Lonchura striata: one gene and its partner. The protein of the gene in region 2 interacts with the protein of the main gene of each other region in a biochemical or structural test. Links are inferred from orthologs where the notes say so. Each region holds a gene or a part of one and is shown on either strand. Other genes may lie near its edges. The genes, in order: EME1 and SLX4.

Region 1 (7,715 bases), on a different chromosome or scaffold from region 2:
GAACAACCACAGAGCCACTGCTGGGTACTGCACTGAGCAGAGGAACCAGGGACATCTGCTCACTCTGGCAAACACCAAAGGCAAAGGTCTAGCTGCTGGAGCTGCACAGGGCAAAGCCAAGGGGAAGATCTGCTAGGCCCGAGCTCCTCAGGAGCAGCATTTCAGATCTCTGAGAGGCAGCACTGCTGGCTCTGCAAAGGATCAGACCTCAGGCACTGGTGGTATTGTGCTGCTTCACCTGTTTCTTAGGTTATCAAGTGTTTTACTGTATCTGTATTGCCTGCCAGGTGGAAATCCTCACCTCTGAGTGACAGAAGGGATGTGCTTTGGAGCACTGCTGTGTGCTCTAGCACCAAGGGCCTCTGTGACTGACAGTGGTTCTGTACAGAGCCCACACATGGATCTGGAGAGGCTCCAGGGGTTATACCCAAATACGGACCACCAAGATGAACCACAGGACTGGATTTGCAGGCTGGGAAAGGACAGATGCATGGACTGAACAGCTGGAGGTCTACAGGAAGACTGTGAAACACAGGTGGGCATGTGTGGCTGACCCAGTTCACTCGGTCTTCTGCAGAGCAGAAGAATTGTCCAAATAATGTCAACACCAGTGTCCTTACACTACTAATTTTGATAACCTGTTTTCTACTGCAGTCAATGTTTCAAATTGTTTACAAACCTGTAGATAAAATGAGATCAGTTTGGGCACAATACATTGAGGCTCCTTTATTTTGAGCAATACAAGCTCAAAAATGTCACATAATGAATCAAAGATAAAAGGATGAGTATCCTGGATAATGCTTTATCACACACCTCCAGCTGCTGAGGCTTCAAATAGTAGCCCAAATTTGGGCATCTTGCCAGGCTCCCTGAACTCAGTAATGAGTTAGAGTTATGCCGTGAATTTGCCTCGCATGGCCAGTGAATGGAACACTCAGATATTTAAGTTAATCATTGAGGTGAGTGAGTTAGAGGGAAAAATCAAGCTTCTGGGTACACATAGGTGCATGTGGAAAAGGATCTGTTCTGCAGTATTGTGAATTAAGGTACAAATAGAACAGTAATTACTAAAAATGAGCAAAACCAGAGGGAATTATTAGCAGGACAAGTACTGACACAAGAGTGATTGTAGAGGGAATTCATCCAATGGCACAACAGACCAGGCTCTCCAGATACTACACGACCATGGTAACACATTCCATGAGTAGACAAGACCTTCAGTTGCCCCACAGCATTTATTAAACACTCTTAAAAATGCCAGCAGGTGATCTCAGTGCCTGAACACAGATCACAAGCACTTCAGGAACAAAACCAAGTCCTAAAACAGTATCTTCAGAGCCAGTCTTGTCCTCAGATGCCAGTATAGCTGTAGTGGTCTGTCCTTTCCATCTGTGCCCACATGACACAGCAGGTTCACAGCATGGTGACAAGTCTGAAGCTTCCTACCTCTGTGGTAGGGACAACACTGATAAAAGTTTTATAAAGGACTGCTCCTTTGGGCAGCTGGCAGATCACATCCCTGCTCTCACTGCTGCGGGGTGGGGGCACATAGACCTCTTTGGTGTATCTCACAGTCCCATCCTCCAGGGCATAGAGTGTCTTGTTTCGACCCATCCCCACCTGGGAGAGGATGAGGAACATTAGAAAGGAGAGGCTGGAAATCCACAACTAAAGCAGATCTGATTATTGGTCTGCCTTGTTTGATATCCTGGCTTCAACAGCATCTGTTGCTTTTATTTTTTAAAATAAAACCACACAACTTGCTTCCAGCAACCAGTTTGCAATGGTACTCAGTATGAGACATGAGACACCATGCCACCTTGAAGCACAAGTGCCCAGTCAGGTCACAGAAGTGTATTGGGGTATTAATTACTTGCAGACCTTCCCTGAGTGCCACGAGCACAGGTGAGGCTCTGAGCAGGCTCTATGACTAATACCACAGAAGACATGGATGAGCATTAAGAATGAGACTGAAAGAGAGGAGGCAGTGAGTGTGGGACTCTGGGGGGGACTGCTGTTCTCTGAGAACCAAAGAGAGAGAAAAAGCCTTACGTGAGCGCCGGGATGCCAGCGGATCAACCGCTGCGTAGCCAAAATGTTTCCTGCATGGACAAATGCACCTGCAACAGAGTGACACTGTCAGACTGCAGACCAAGAGCCTCCAGAGCCCTGGAACAACACAAATTATTCCAGGACTTACAAATCCCAGCCTTCTGTAGGCATTTTCTAAGGAAAAATTACTTCAAATGTTAAAAGCATCTGAACAAAAATGCTGTTAGCAGGAAATAAATGGACAATGGATAGACCATGGCAAAAAGTCAAATTTCTGAAAAGACTGCTTCTAGGGTACAAGGCATTTTCTGGCTGCTGAAGGCATTTGTTTAATTACATTTACATTGATATGTTTCCATCAGAAAAGCTAGTAATTATTAAGCACTCAACTGCAAGAATCTGCACTTTGACTTCTGCTAAGCTTTCTAATTCTCTCCTTTGTAAACAATGGAAATGCTCGGTTTTTCCACCCAGTGTGGGGGGAAAGTGCAGCGCAGTTATGAGGTGTCCCACAGAGTTCCCTCCTCCTGGGCCCTCCGGAGAGACAAAGTTAGAACCAAAGTACATTTTCTGTGGGCAATTTTGGCTGGCAGCCGGCGGGCTCATGGTGGGGAGGGGGAGCTGACTCAGCCTGCCCTCCCACCAGCAACCCTTGATCGTGAGGTTTCACTGATCCTCCCCTTCTTTCTCCCGGAAAAGTGCCCTGCCTACCTCCTGCTGAGACACTCAGCAACTGACATACATCAGGGGAGAGAAGCTGGGAACAGCCCAATGAAATGCAAATACGATACTCAGACCTACCTTCGGTTTTTTTGAACCCATAGCGTTTCCCCGGGCTGCGGCCTCCTAGGTTTTTAGAGCTGCCCCCACTTTTCTTAGAAGCCCATCTGACAGCAACCAGGCTTGTATGACGAGTGGTTAGAACTAGGTTAGGAGAAAGAACAACACCATCAGCTAAAAAAACTATCATACATAATTCCTTCTGTCAGATTTAAAGGCTATCAGTTAAGACAGGCTATAAAATTAAAGGCAAAGGAAAGAAACAAAAAGATAAATTAGACCAAAATGGCCTAAATTCCTTGAAAAAAGGCCACATCTCAAGTGCTGCTGCTGCTGCCCAGGTAAGAATAAAACTCTCAGCAACCATGTTAAATGATGTGTACAAATTCCTCTTTCATTCTTGTAAAATGCAGCACAGATGTCACTGGTTGCTGTGAATTGCTCTTACAGTGCTTTGAGAAAAGATGGTTTGTGAGTTCAGTTTCCCCTTTGACCAAATGGCATTTACTTACACAGTTACATCCTGAAATCTTACAAATGAGCAGATTACAATTCTGGAAAATATATATGTAAAATGCAGCACAGATGTCACTGGTTGCTGTGAATTGCTCTTACAGTGCTTTGAGAAAAGATGGTTTGTGAGTTCAGTTTCCCCTTTGACCAAATGGCATTTACTTACACAGTTACATCCTGAAATCTTACAAATGAGCAGATTACAATTCTGGAAAATATATAAACATCTATGACCAGCCAGAAACAATCTGAGGAGTATCCAGAAGGAGCATAAAGGTTGGACTTGCTGATACTGGAGGACTTTTCCAACCTTAATGATTCTGTAATTCTATGATTAAAGGATCTAAGAAGGAATATAGAGCCCTGGGAGTGGCAAAAAGGGAGTCTGGAGCACAGTTTTTTCCATTAATCATCCCAGTTTAAGGGAAGTGTTTTAAGGCCAGGTTGAATCTGGGCTTGGAACAACCTGGTCTAGTGAAAGGTGTCCCTTCCCATGGCAAGGGGTAAGAACTGGGTGATCTTTAAGTTCCCTCCCAACCCAAGTCATCATTATCTTAAAAATCTCTACAGTACCACCTCTCATGCAGTTAGGAGACAAACCTAATTTTTCTGAATCCTATTACTTAGCCCGCTAAGCAGCAGGTTAGTGCAGAAGAGTGGTTGTTTCCTTAGCCTGAGCAAAACCACTAATTTAATTTAATTAAATCACGACGGATGCACATTGAGCTGGAAATGTCCCATCACTGGAGGTGTTCCCGCACAGGCTGGATGGGGCCTGGTCTAATGGAAACGTCCCAGCCCATGGCAGGAAATTGGAGCAAGATGACCTTTAAGGTTCCTTCCAACCCAAGCCTGTCCATAATTCTAAGAAATACTGTTGGGGAAAGGGTACAAAACCCCTTTAACTTCAGGATACGGCCCATTAGGCAAATTAAAGCCTGCGAGACTTGACGATTAACAGGAAATTAGAAAAAGACGAAGTATAGTTAGTTTCACATACACAAACCCGCCCATCACCACAGCTCCGCCTCAGCTCCAGGCCAAAGCGAAAGCCTGGGTGGTGACGCCCCACTGGGGGCGCGACATCCCGCGGGGTGAGCCCCCTGGGGCGGGGTGAGCCCCCTGGGGCGCCGTGTCCCCGGCTCATCCCTCCCGCCGCTGCCCAGCGCTCGGAGGGCGCCGAGCCCCCACAGCTCCGGACTCACGCAGCCGCGCCAGCGCCGCCATCTTGTCCGCTCCGCTGCCCCCGCCTCTCCCCCGCTGCGCGGCGATTGGTCCGAGCGCGCGCGGCCGCCAGCGCTCGGGCCAATCACCGCCCGCTGCGCGCGCCTCCGGCCCAACCAGCGGCCGGCGCGGGCTTTGCCCTCAGGCGGGCGCGGGGCCCCCGAAGGGACGGGGGAGATGGCGGAGAGCGAGTCCGGGACTGAGAGCAGCGACGAGGAGCGCCTGCCCTCCTTCGCCTACCTGCTGCAGCCGTCCCCATGCCTCGGCGAGCCCAGCCGCCCGCGGTCGCCATCTCCTGATCCTGAAGCGGAAGAGGTTGTCAAGATAGTGAGCAGCGAGGGCGAAGAGGTGGATGAGGAGGCGATGGAAGTAGTCCCTTTGCATGAGACGGTCGAGATGATGGTGAAGGCAGGGCCTGACCCTTTCAACCTGGGCGCTGGTGATAAAGAAGAGGCATCTGGGGTTTTTTGTGCCAGTGATCACCTGGTGGCTCCTGGGAGCGGAGAGCTTTGGGAAGACGTGACGCCGTCTGAAGAAATAGCTTGTGATAGTGAGAATGGTACACGCGGTGTTGCGGGATCCTCCCTGTGCTCCTTGCCAGTCGACTCTGACAGGCCTAGTAGCTCCCCGGCCAGCAGAGAAAGGCCAGAAACATCGCTGCCTCTCAAAAAGCGACAATATAGTCAGAAGGAACGGGAGGCAATCTGCCAGAATGCGTGGCAGAGAAGGAAGGAGCAAGAAGCAAAGAAAGGGAAGCAGGAAGAGGAAAAAGAGAGGAAGAGAGTCATTGCCAAGATGCTGAAAGCTCAGCGGCCAGGAGAGTGCCAGAAATACATAACAGTGGTGCTAGATCCAGGTAGTTGTCCTCGCAGCCTGCAGCTGCCTTGTACTGACTGTTGTCTCCTCTCTCTGGGGGCCTGACCCGTGCATCGATTTCAGTCATCTTACAGGTAGAAGGTGGCGAGCAGATCCTTAGTGCTTTGCAAGCTGCCAGTTATTCCTGTGTGTTTGAGAACCACGCTGTTCCCTGCAGCATCACCTGGAGGAGAAAGACAGTGACATCACAGGTATGTGAGCAAAATTTTGATAATCTTGTCCTTTTCCTCATGTGTTATTTGCAGTCGTTAGTAATTTTATTTAGCAACTCAAGTGAGCACCCTCTAATCTCCCTGCTCAGAGGTTTGAGTGGGAGTCTGAGAGAATTCTAAACAGACTGTGGCCTGTTTGTTTTCATATCTGAACAGATGGGAGGAGGAGATGAATGGACAGAAGAACCAAATGTTCTGGTTCTGCTTGGCTTGGAGGAGTTTTTGTCCATGGTTCACAACTACAAGCAAGTGAGAATGCTTATGACTCTTTTGCTCCTGAAAATGCCTTGATGTAAAACGGGTGTTTTAGCATCCCTCTTAGTGGCAGGAAGGTTTTGGTGTGGGAGGAATGCAGGGTTTCACTGAAACAGAAATCTGGGTGTAGAAGCCACTAATGGGCTGTATAATGTAAAGTTCTGACAAGCTGTCTTTGCTAGTTAAAATTTTTCACACATTCCTCTGAAGAGTTATATCAAGTGGGTTTAACTTTTTCTCCTTCTTTCTGCTCTAACCTTACATGGGATCAAGTATTGCCTGCTTGCCTTGAAGAGCAAGGGTGAACTTGAAGTCTCTGCAGACCTACAACCAGGGCCATAATTTGCTGTGCTTCTCTGTATACCTAAAAATGGTTTAACTCCTTATTTTTCCAACTCATCTTTGTAGAATGCTGATGGCTGTGCAGAAAGGCAGAAGGAGACCCTGCAGAGCTATGTAGCTCATATTATGGAGAAAATGCCTGGGAGAATTCTGGCTCTGGCAGTAGTTGGAGTAGAAAATTATTTCAGGTCAGACTTCTTCCTTCCAAATGTTTCTGTGTTTTCTCTGGCCTTGAAAAATTCCATAGGTGTTTATGTTAATTCTTTCTAGCAAAGACTGGAGTCTAAGAGGTATTCCCAGAACTGTTCCACCAATTTTAATACAGAAACAGAAACAAAGGTCCATCCAGACTGTCACCCCAGTCTTACTTTACTCTTTTTAGGTCTCTCCAAGTTCAGCCAAAACAAAGGCTGCGACAGGCAGCAGCAAGTGGGAATCAAGAGAAACGTGGAGAAAGGAGAAAAAAACAGGTTAAGGATTGTGGCCTGGACTTATCCAGAATGGATGTGAAAGAAGTGAGTGGTTTTAAAACACATGCAGCCATCATCTCTTGTCTCCCAGTATTTGAACAATTGACCCAGTCACACAGTTTTGTGGGTGGGAGTCTGGCTTTCATTATTCATTAGGCCATCAGTCTGTGGGCAGAGCTCTGGGGTCAGTTCCCTACTGCTCAGTCACATTGCTGTTCCCACACAGACTCCTGTGTCGCATTCACCTGGATACTGATGTCAGTCTCAGCACCTCTTGCCCTTCATGGCCCTTTGGCAAAGCCCACTGGTGGTGGCCTGTTCATAACAAGAGCCACAGAGGAGCTGAGGCAGCTCAGAGGACACTGAGGTGATATTAACTGTCAGGAGACAGCCTGCCCCTAAATACATCAGTGTCTTAAGTTAACTGTTCCCAAAATGGAGAGAGAGTGAATGTTCTTGTTTTACAGCAGGATGTTTGTGACCCTTTTATGCTCCAGACAAAAATGGAATTTGATGCAACAAGACTGATTGTGCCATTTGTTGTTCCCAATGGTGATACAGGCCCTGGTGGATCTGCAGCTGAGCACACAAGTCCAAGTCAGCATTTTTGAGAGCAGTGAGGAGATTGGGGAGTATGCCACTATGTTCACAAAGGCTGTGGCTGAGGCACCATACAAGTGAGTAAGCAGAGGAGGTTTGGCCCTACCTTTGGAGAGGCTGCACTTTCAGCTACTGGGAAGGGATAGCAGGTACAACACTGGGAATAATGGTTCTCAAAGGTGCAGGTGACAGAACATCTGCTATTGCAGCTCCTTCAACACAGGACTTGTTCTTGAAATGGATGTCCTGCCCACAGAGGGGTCAGGATAGACCCTGGTTTCATAGTCACAGGCTGATTGGGGTTGGAAGAGACCTTAAAGATGATCTAATCCAACCCCCTGCCACAGGCAGGGACACCTTCCACTACACTGGATTGCTGAGCACTCCATCC
Region 2 (7,122 bases):
AGTGGGAGACAGTCAGTAGCCTGATGTAGGACTGGATAATTTACATCACTCCTGCTTTCTGGAAGTGCTTGAACTAAGAATTTACAATCATTCAAATGTGTTGTTTCTGATCCTTTGTCAACAGAAAAGCACAGATTCGATTTCCAGAGAGTTGTCTGTCCATAATAAATTGTGTTTGATTTTTATCACTTAGGAAATTGTTCAATGAAGGGCAGTAATTTCAAATGAGTCATCTCTCTGAGTAACATCACATTTCCCTCAGCAAACAGCTCAGATACAGTGACATACCAGATGTCCTTAGATGAATTTTAGCAAAACAGAGCAAACAACTTTGTTGGCTGAAATCAGTAGATCTCAAAACTGGCATTAGGGAGTCATCACTAAGGAAATCATTAAGGTTGGAAAAGAGCTTTAAGACCACCAAGTTCCTTTACAATGGCAGCTTCTCTGCCAACCTGCTAATGAAAGCAGATTTGGCCTGGCCACACCAATGCAGAAATCCTGCAGGGCAAGGCAATCAGCCTCTGCTTTCACACCAAACTGACTCGCTAATTCAAGCCACAAAGGCAAAGACCCCTTTGCAGAATCCCTGCTCCTGTTCTTCCATGGCTGGGCTGAGTGAGGAGTCTGTGGGGCTGGATGGAAAGGATAGGTCCTGCTGGTGTTTGACCTGTTGACATGCTGCTCTCGCCGCAGGGTGTTCATGGCTGTGAGATCCTTCTGGCAGATCTGACAGAAGAACAAGCCTGCATCCTCCAGGCTTGCCAGGGCTTCCTCCTTGGATTCCTGCTGAAGAGCCAAAGCCAGAGCACTGTCGTGTTCCACGGATGGGGGATGGTGGGTATCTGGCAAAGAAGGCAGGGATGATGTAAAATGGAAAACTAAATCCTGTGTGGAAGGTGAGAAACTGGTACACTAGTCATTATTAGCTTTTTAAATTAGACACACAAAAATTCATTGCAATCTTCCTCTTGCATCTACACACCTGATCTCCACCAGGAAAGGTACAACCTGCTCTTTTCCAACAGGAGCAAGAGGTGACAATTTGCTCACAGCACATCACATGTCAGACACAATGAAGGGACAGTTTTGGCTGAAGTTTCTGGGGAAATTATGGAATTTTATACATCAAATGTACAACACAGCAGACTTTCATGCCCATACAGAACCAACAGGGACTTGATCTATAAAGAATCAACCAGAGTAAATTTGCTGTGATTTCAGTTTATCAACACAGAACGTATCACCTTAGATAGTGCCTGGAGAGGTACCAAAGATGGGGCTACCTAAGAGCTGCTTAACACTGTCCCAAGGGAAGGATGACCAAGTTCACCGGTCCTGTTAGAATTTCAGTCTGTTTCCAAAGAGACAATTATTCCTCTAGAATTTACATGAGATTAATTCAGCCTTAGAGAAGAGCTGGGAAAAAGGTATGGATAATCCTTTAATGAAGTTTTCTCAGGGATCTGGAGTGATTTGCACAGCAAGCCACTAGGCTAGCCAGGAACAAAGCCCTGGGATCCAGGACTGCTCCTCAGGCAACCATTCTCACCAGCCACTCATTCTGCAAACACCAGAGCCAAGAGGAGACACGTACCATCCTCAGGAGGGTTCTGCTCCTGGCTCCTGGCAGGGAAATCCCTGCTGGCTGCAGCCTTTGGCATGCTCCCATCCGAGCTGTGTTTCAGCTGTTCAGGTGCCACCCTCTTGAACTGCTGCATTCTCTCCACCACCAGCTCTGCCACCCGCACCTTGGGGGTGGGTGAGGAGCAGGTTCCTGGAGGAGTAGCAGGAAGGAAGGGCAGGGTAGTCTGGGAACAGCCGCTTTCTGGATTTACTAGAGGGGAAGAAAACACCAGTTTTACCAGGCAGTTTTAAACACACACTGAGAGCAGCTGGAAGGCCCCTCCCTGAGAGCAGCCTGGGCCAGGCTCAGTTCTACAACAGCCATTCTTGGAGAAGGGAACAATTTGTGTAGCCACAGTAACAACACTGGGGTTCTGTGCTACAGGGGCATTTAGAGACTTCTGTATCCCTTTTATAGGCAGTAATATAAAGAAAGCCCTTGCAGGAAGGTCTCCAGCAGGGACATGGAAGGCAGTCCCACAGCCCTGCTCTCCCAGCATTCCCACTACAGAATGTCCTATTCCTGACTGACCTATTTTATCAGTTTAAGGACTTCCATCATTGGTGACTGCATTCTGGCCATCATGTTTAACAGCTAATGAAGAACTAATCCTTTACTAATTAATCCAACACCCTTCTTAACTCATTCATGTTTTTGCCCTTGAAAACATCCAGTCACCATACATTGAAAACAATATGTCACCATACATTGAAGCATTGAGTGAAAAAGCACCACAATATGCTCTGAGCTTGCTTCTAGATGATCTGAGAGTACTTTTCTCAGTTCTGACACTGCAAAAAACAGTGTATAATGACTGGCCAGCAAATCACTTTGTACCAAGGCTTCACCTTACTGAAGGACATCTGCCTGCAGCACAGAACACACTCCCAGGTTAAACCCATGTAAGGCATAAGCCTGCTTTCAACAGTGCTACTGTGTCCCCTCTGGGTGGACTTCTCAAAACCTTCACTGAGATACAGAGTCCTTCCAGTCCTTGTCTATCTCCTGTGTGAACTGTTTCAGGTCACTTACCTGTCAGAGGCCTCTGGCTACACTCAGTGGTCCCTGTGCTTGGCTGGCTGGCAGGGAGAGGGCTTCTTGCTCCATTCCCCTCTGCAGTCTCACCACTACAGGCTGCAGCATCACCATCTTCTTCGTGCACCAATGCTTGCTCCTCTGGACCCAAATTTTGAAGTAAATTTGTCTCCTTCACTGCTGGTAAGTGATGATGGGTTTGGCTCTTAGCAGCAGCTTTGCCTCTTCTTAATCTGTTTTGTGTTGTGGTGCTCTTTGGCCTGTTCTGAACCCTCTTTGTTGCCCCAGCATCCCCAGCCTTTTTCTTTGCCCTACTCAAAATATTTGCCCACAACTCTTTAAAATCATTGTCCTGTTCATCCATTGGCTTTCCAGTAACACTGTGAGGACTGGAGGGCAGGGGGAAGCACCAGAATCAGTTCAGATTTGTATCAGCCCTTCCAGCACCTCAGAGATGTCCATTCTCCAGACTCCAATAAGATCATCAGACAGAGTGGGCACTTCCAGTAGTTCATTCTTCCACGCTTAATTCACATTCAGTAGAGCATGCTTTCTCTCCAAGAACCTCGTCTGCTTTCACAAGCTGGTTCTTCAGAAGACTCTGGACCACAGGTTAGGCACCTCAGTTTGTGAGAGCACACGTAGGATCATCATGGTAAGCTACAGAGCTTCAGAAATAAACTTATGAAAGCCCTTAAACAAAGAAACAAAGGCAGGTAGTCACACAAGATGGTACAGGCAGATGCACTATGGGACAAGGTGTAAACTGCTGAAGGAGAAGAGGATTTGCATGAAATACTAAGATTAGAAACAGCACATATTGACCCCAAACAGTGTCCCTATAATTGTACTACAGACATGCCCAAGCCACATTAGCAAAGGAGAGGAGAGATATTAAAACACGTATCTGATATGGTTAGGTTTTTTCTTAGAGCTCTGGATTCAGACAGTCCTTCTGTTATACACATTCCTACTTATATTTATATAGCACAAAATCAGTGAATGCAGCAGGAAAAAACTCCATCCTTCAGCTCATGCAGTGATTCTGGAGTATTAAACTCTGCTTTGAGACACTACAGTTTCACAGAAGAGATCCCAGCCTCATTTGGAAAAGTAAATAAATGGAGTTTCTGGTACTTCAGAAGGGGTTTTAGGACAAGTCAGAGAACAATTCCATTAAATATGTTCACCTTTTCTCTCCTCTTACTTCCACTATTGCTCACTCAGGATTAGCTCTCCTGCTCCTGCTCAATTCTTCCCCTGAGTACTCAATAAACCACAGCACTGATTCTGTTTCCCAAACTGCTGTCACATATGTATTAGACAGGGATTACCTGGAACAGCACTGGGTACAGTGTCCAGATGGAAATGCCATCAACTCCCAGGCAACATTAAGACTAGAGCTCTATTCTTACACATGTTTTCATTGTCCCCTTCTTCGTAGTCCTGAGTTCATGATGGTTCTGGCTATTTTACCAGGAGTTTTTATTGCTCCCAAAACCTACTTCTTTCAAACCTAAACCAGAATGTTTCACTTGGAATGGCAGCAGCTGTGGTCCAGTTACTCCGGTAAAGCTCTGGGCAGAGAAAGACTCAAAAAGCAGGAAAAACACATGGGGGACTGTTTTCTCAAATGGCTTGGCTGCAGACATGAGAGGCTGAGGAATGCTGGTTACACACTTCCATGGATCAGCCTTTTCTATAAGCAATTACAGACGCTAATGGATTTATTTATTTTAAACTCAGGCTCCCAGACCTGCAGAGGATTTTGCTGTGAATCTTGGAGTAATTTTCTGTTAGAGGGAAACAAAAGTTTCATGTAGCTGGTTCATAAATTTACTTCTTCTGGACAGAACTCTGGGGTAGTTACAACTGTAAATTGACCATTTTCTTCTAAGGAGGAGACAGCATGTCAAGAAGTCCCAAATCTCACATCCTACACCGCTTTAAATACCTCAGACACATCTGTACTGCCAGATTATTTATGGTGAGTTCCTGATATTAAACTTTGAAACAGAGCAGCATATTTGGCTATCAATATTCAGTGTCCCAGGCAGATCAGATCAGAAACACCTATGATGCAAAACTAAGACTTTATCTGTATTACTCCTCCCTTTCCAGACCTGCATTTACAGATTCCTGCTCTGTTCAACATCTCAATATTTCTGAAGCTGCTGCTACTGCTGCCCCTAACAACCAGCTTTGGCACCAGTTTATTGAGCTCAAAAAGTAACAGTTTTGAAAGTAATTTCTTTCACTATAATGTTCAATTAATTTTGGAAGATTTTAGGACTCAACAAATCACAAAATAATCAGCAGCACTTACCTGCTCACTGAGATGCCAAATCTACAGCCCAGCTGTGCCCTTCAAGTAAACATGGATCAGCAAAATGGTACAAAGCAGGACCAGTAAGAATGAAAGACAGAACCTAGAAAATGGAGGGAAAAGGATGGATTTAATGTATTTTGAAATTACTGCTCTCGATGATCCTTTGCACCCTTTCAATAGGTACCTGATGGGAGCCTACAAAAAAAGATGGAGAGGGAGTTTGGACAAGGGCCTGGAGTGACAGGACAAGGGGCAATGGCTTCCCACTGCCAGGGAGTAGGATTATATGGAATATGGGGAAGAAAATCTTCCCTGTGAGGGTGCTGAGGCCCTGGCATAGGTTACCCCATCCCTAGAAGTGTTCCAGGCCAGGCTGGACAGGGCTTGGAGCAACGTGGAATAGTGGAAGGTGCTCCTGTCCAGAGCAGGAACTGGATGATCTTTAAAGTCCCTTCCAACTCAGATTATCCCGTAATTCTATGATTTAAAAGTATGTACCTACTACGTGCCTTCAATTTACTGCCTTGTAATTACTTAGTTAAATAATAAATCCCTTAAAAAACCCCAAACAGCTAAAACAGCTGTTGCTCTCCCACTTTTCAGAGCAGCCTCTCTTTTAACCCCTGAAAACATTTTTCCACCAGCTATCTGACTTACATGCTCTCAAACACACAACATTTGGGCCTGCTCACTTGCTGCTTTACACTCTGTCTGCTCCAGGAACAATTCTCCTGCCATTTCAGCCTCCAAGAATATGTCATCACCGTGGCTACAACAGCCCATCAGTGCTAGCAGGCCTCCACAAGTTGCACACAGCAGATACCTTCTCCCCTCCTGAGCACCACAGTGGTGCTTCAGGACATCTCCTCCTCAATTCCTCATCTTGAAAGAAAAATTCACTTTATACTTCCAAAACCAGGAAAACACCTTCGAAGCAATCTCTTGTATTCCACAGGAAATGCTAAGGGAAATGGGATTAATTAACATTAGAAAGCAAGGCAACAACAAAACCTGAATTATTATCTGGGGTCCCCAGCACAGGAAGGACATGGAGCTGCTGGAGTGAGTGCAAAGGAAGCCACCTTTGTACCCCACCCCTCCCTCCAGCTTCACCTCAGGCTTCAGGAATCAACTAATTGCCAGGACCTGGATGACCCTGGGCTACTAATTACAGAGTGCTGGCAGCAGCAGGATGATGGGATGCACCACTTGGCTTGGCACTGGAAGTTTCATCACCTTCTCCTCCTTTTGTGGAAGCTGCAGCCAAAGATCTGAGGGTTAGTGATAAAATTTCCAGTCAAGTCAGACCAAATACTGCGAAAGGGAAGAACTTCTGTAGTGTTTTTCCTGGCAGCTACACTGGAAGGAGGTCTCTAGGGATTCCTCCAAACCAAATCTTGTAACAAAAAATCTCCCTACTGGTTCCTGATGGAGAAGAACCTACATGTCAATGGTGTGACTTCTGAAAAAGCACATTATCCTCCAGCCTTTTATGGATTCTTCATTAGAGCCTGATCTCTGCACTAACCAACACCTTTATCACTACTTTATAAAGACATGACACTACATCTGTACAGTGCAGGGTCTCTGTGGTTGCAAAAGCACAAAAAATTTAACACTGAGGACAACAAGGCTTGTTCTGTGAGAACAAATGTAAGTGCAAAACACAAATCCAAAGTAGGTACGACTCTCTTGTCCTGGTCTATGCCAGCTTCCCTGTGCCAGAAAAGGGTAACAAAACCAGATGAGGAAAATAGGAAATGAGAAATTAATTCAAATCTCTATAAACAAGGGAATGCTAGGTAGGAAAATCATACTGAGATTCCAAGGAGCAATCTTAGCAGGGATCAGCATCAGTGTCCATCTGGCACCACCCACTTCCATATCTGATGTCCCATCAGTCCTCACATTTCTGTTCAGGGCTACACCTCCCCCTGCCAGCACCCTGTTCATATGGCAAAGCATTTCACAGTCACTAAAAAATCTATCACATTCTAGACAGAATTTTAAATCATTACTTACACAACAAAGTGTCCTTCTACCAACACATCCCCAGAATGGAAAATTCACTTTATACCTCCTCTGGAAGGGTGAAGAGGAAGTGAAGAGAAAAATAAAAACTAACGGTCGT

The links.
Region 1: the proteins of SLX4 (region 2) and EME1 form a complex in vitro, tested with the Homo sapiens proteins (3 studies listed by BioGRID, with this or other methods). The link is inferred for Lonchura striata from reciprocal best matches to the Homo sapiens genes SLX4 and EME1.

Annotation. Positions count from the first base shown.
Region 1 is NC_134621.1:5,708,331-5,716,045, forward strand, and holds the start of EME1 (structure-specific endonuclease subunit EME1), read left to right. Parts: upstream 1-4,702; 5' UTR 4,703-4,746; coding exon 4,747-5,425; intron 5,426-5,508; coding exon 5,509-5,636; intron 5,637-5,813; coding exon 5,814-5,906; intron 5,907-6,320; coding exon 6,321-6,442; intron 6,443-6,636; coding exon 6,637-6,769; intron 6,770-7,285; coding exon 7,286-7,401; intron 7,402-7,715. Other genes in the region: MRPL27 (large ribosomal subunit protein bL27m), read right to left, coding at 1,414-1,620, 2,053-2,120, 2,854-2,976, 4,551-4,572. UniProt on the Homo sapiens protein: Non-catalytic subunit of the structure-specific, heterodimeric DNA endonuclease MUS81-EME1 which is involved in the maintenance of genome stability. In the complex, EME1 is required for DNA cleavage, participating in DNA recognition and bending.
Region 2 is NC_134618.1:4,009,561-4,016,682, reverse strand, and holds the start of SLX4 (structure-specific endonuclease subunit SLX4), read right to left. Parts: upstream 3,076-7,122; 5' UTR 3,027-3,075; coding exon 2,660-3,026; intron 1,838-2,659; coding exon 1,598-1,837; intron 846-1,597; coding exon 671-845; intron 1-670. UniProt on the Homo sapiens protein: Regulatory subunit that interacts with and increases the activity of different structure-specific endonucleases.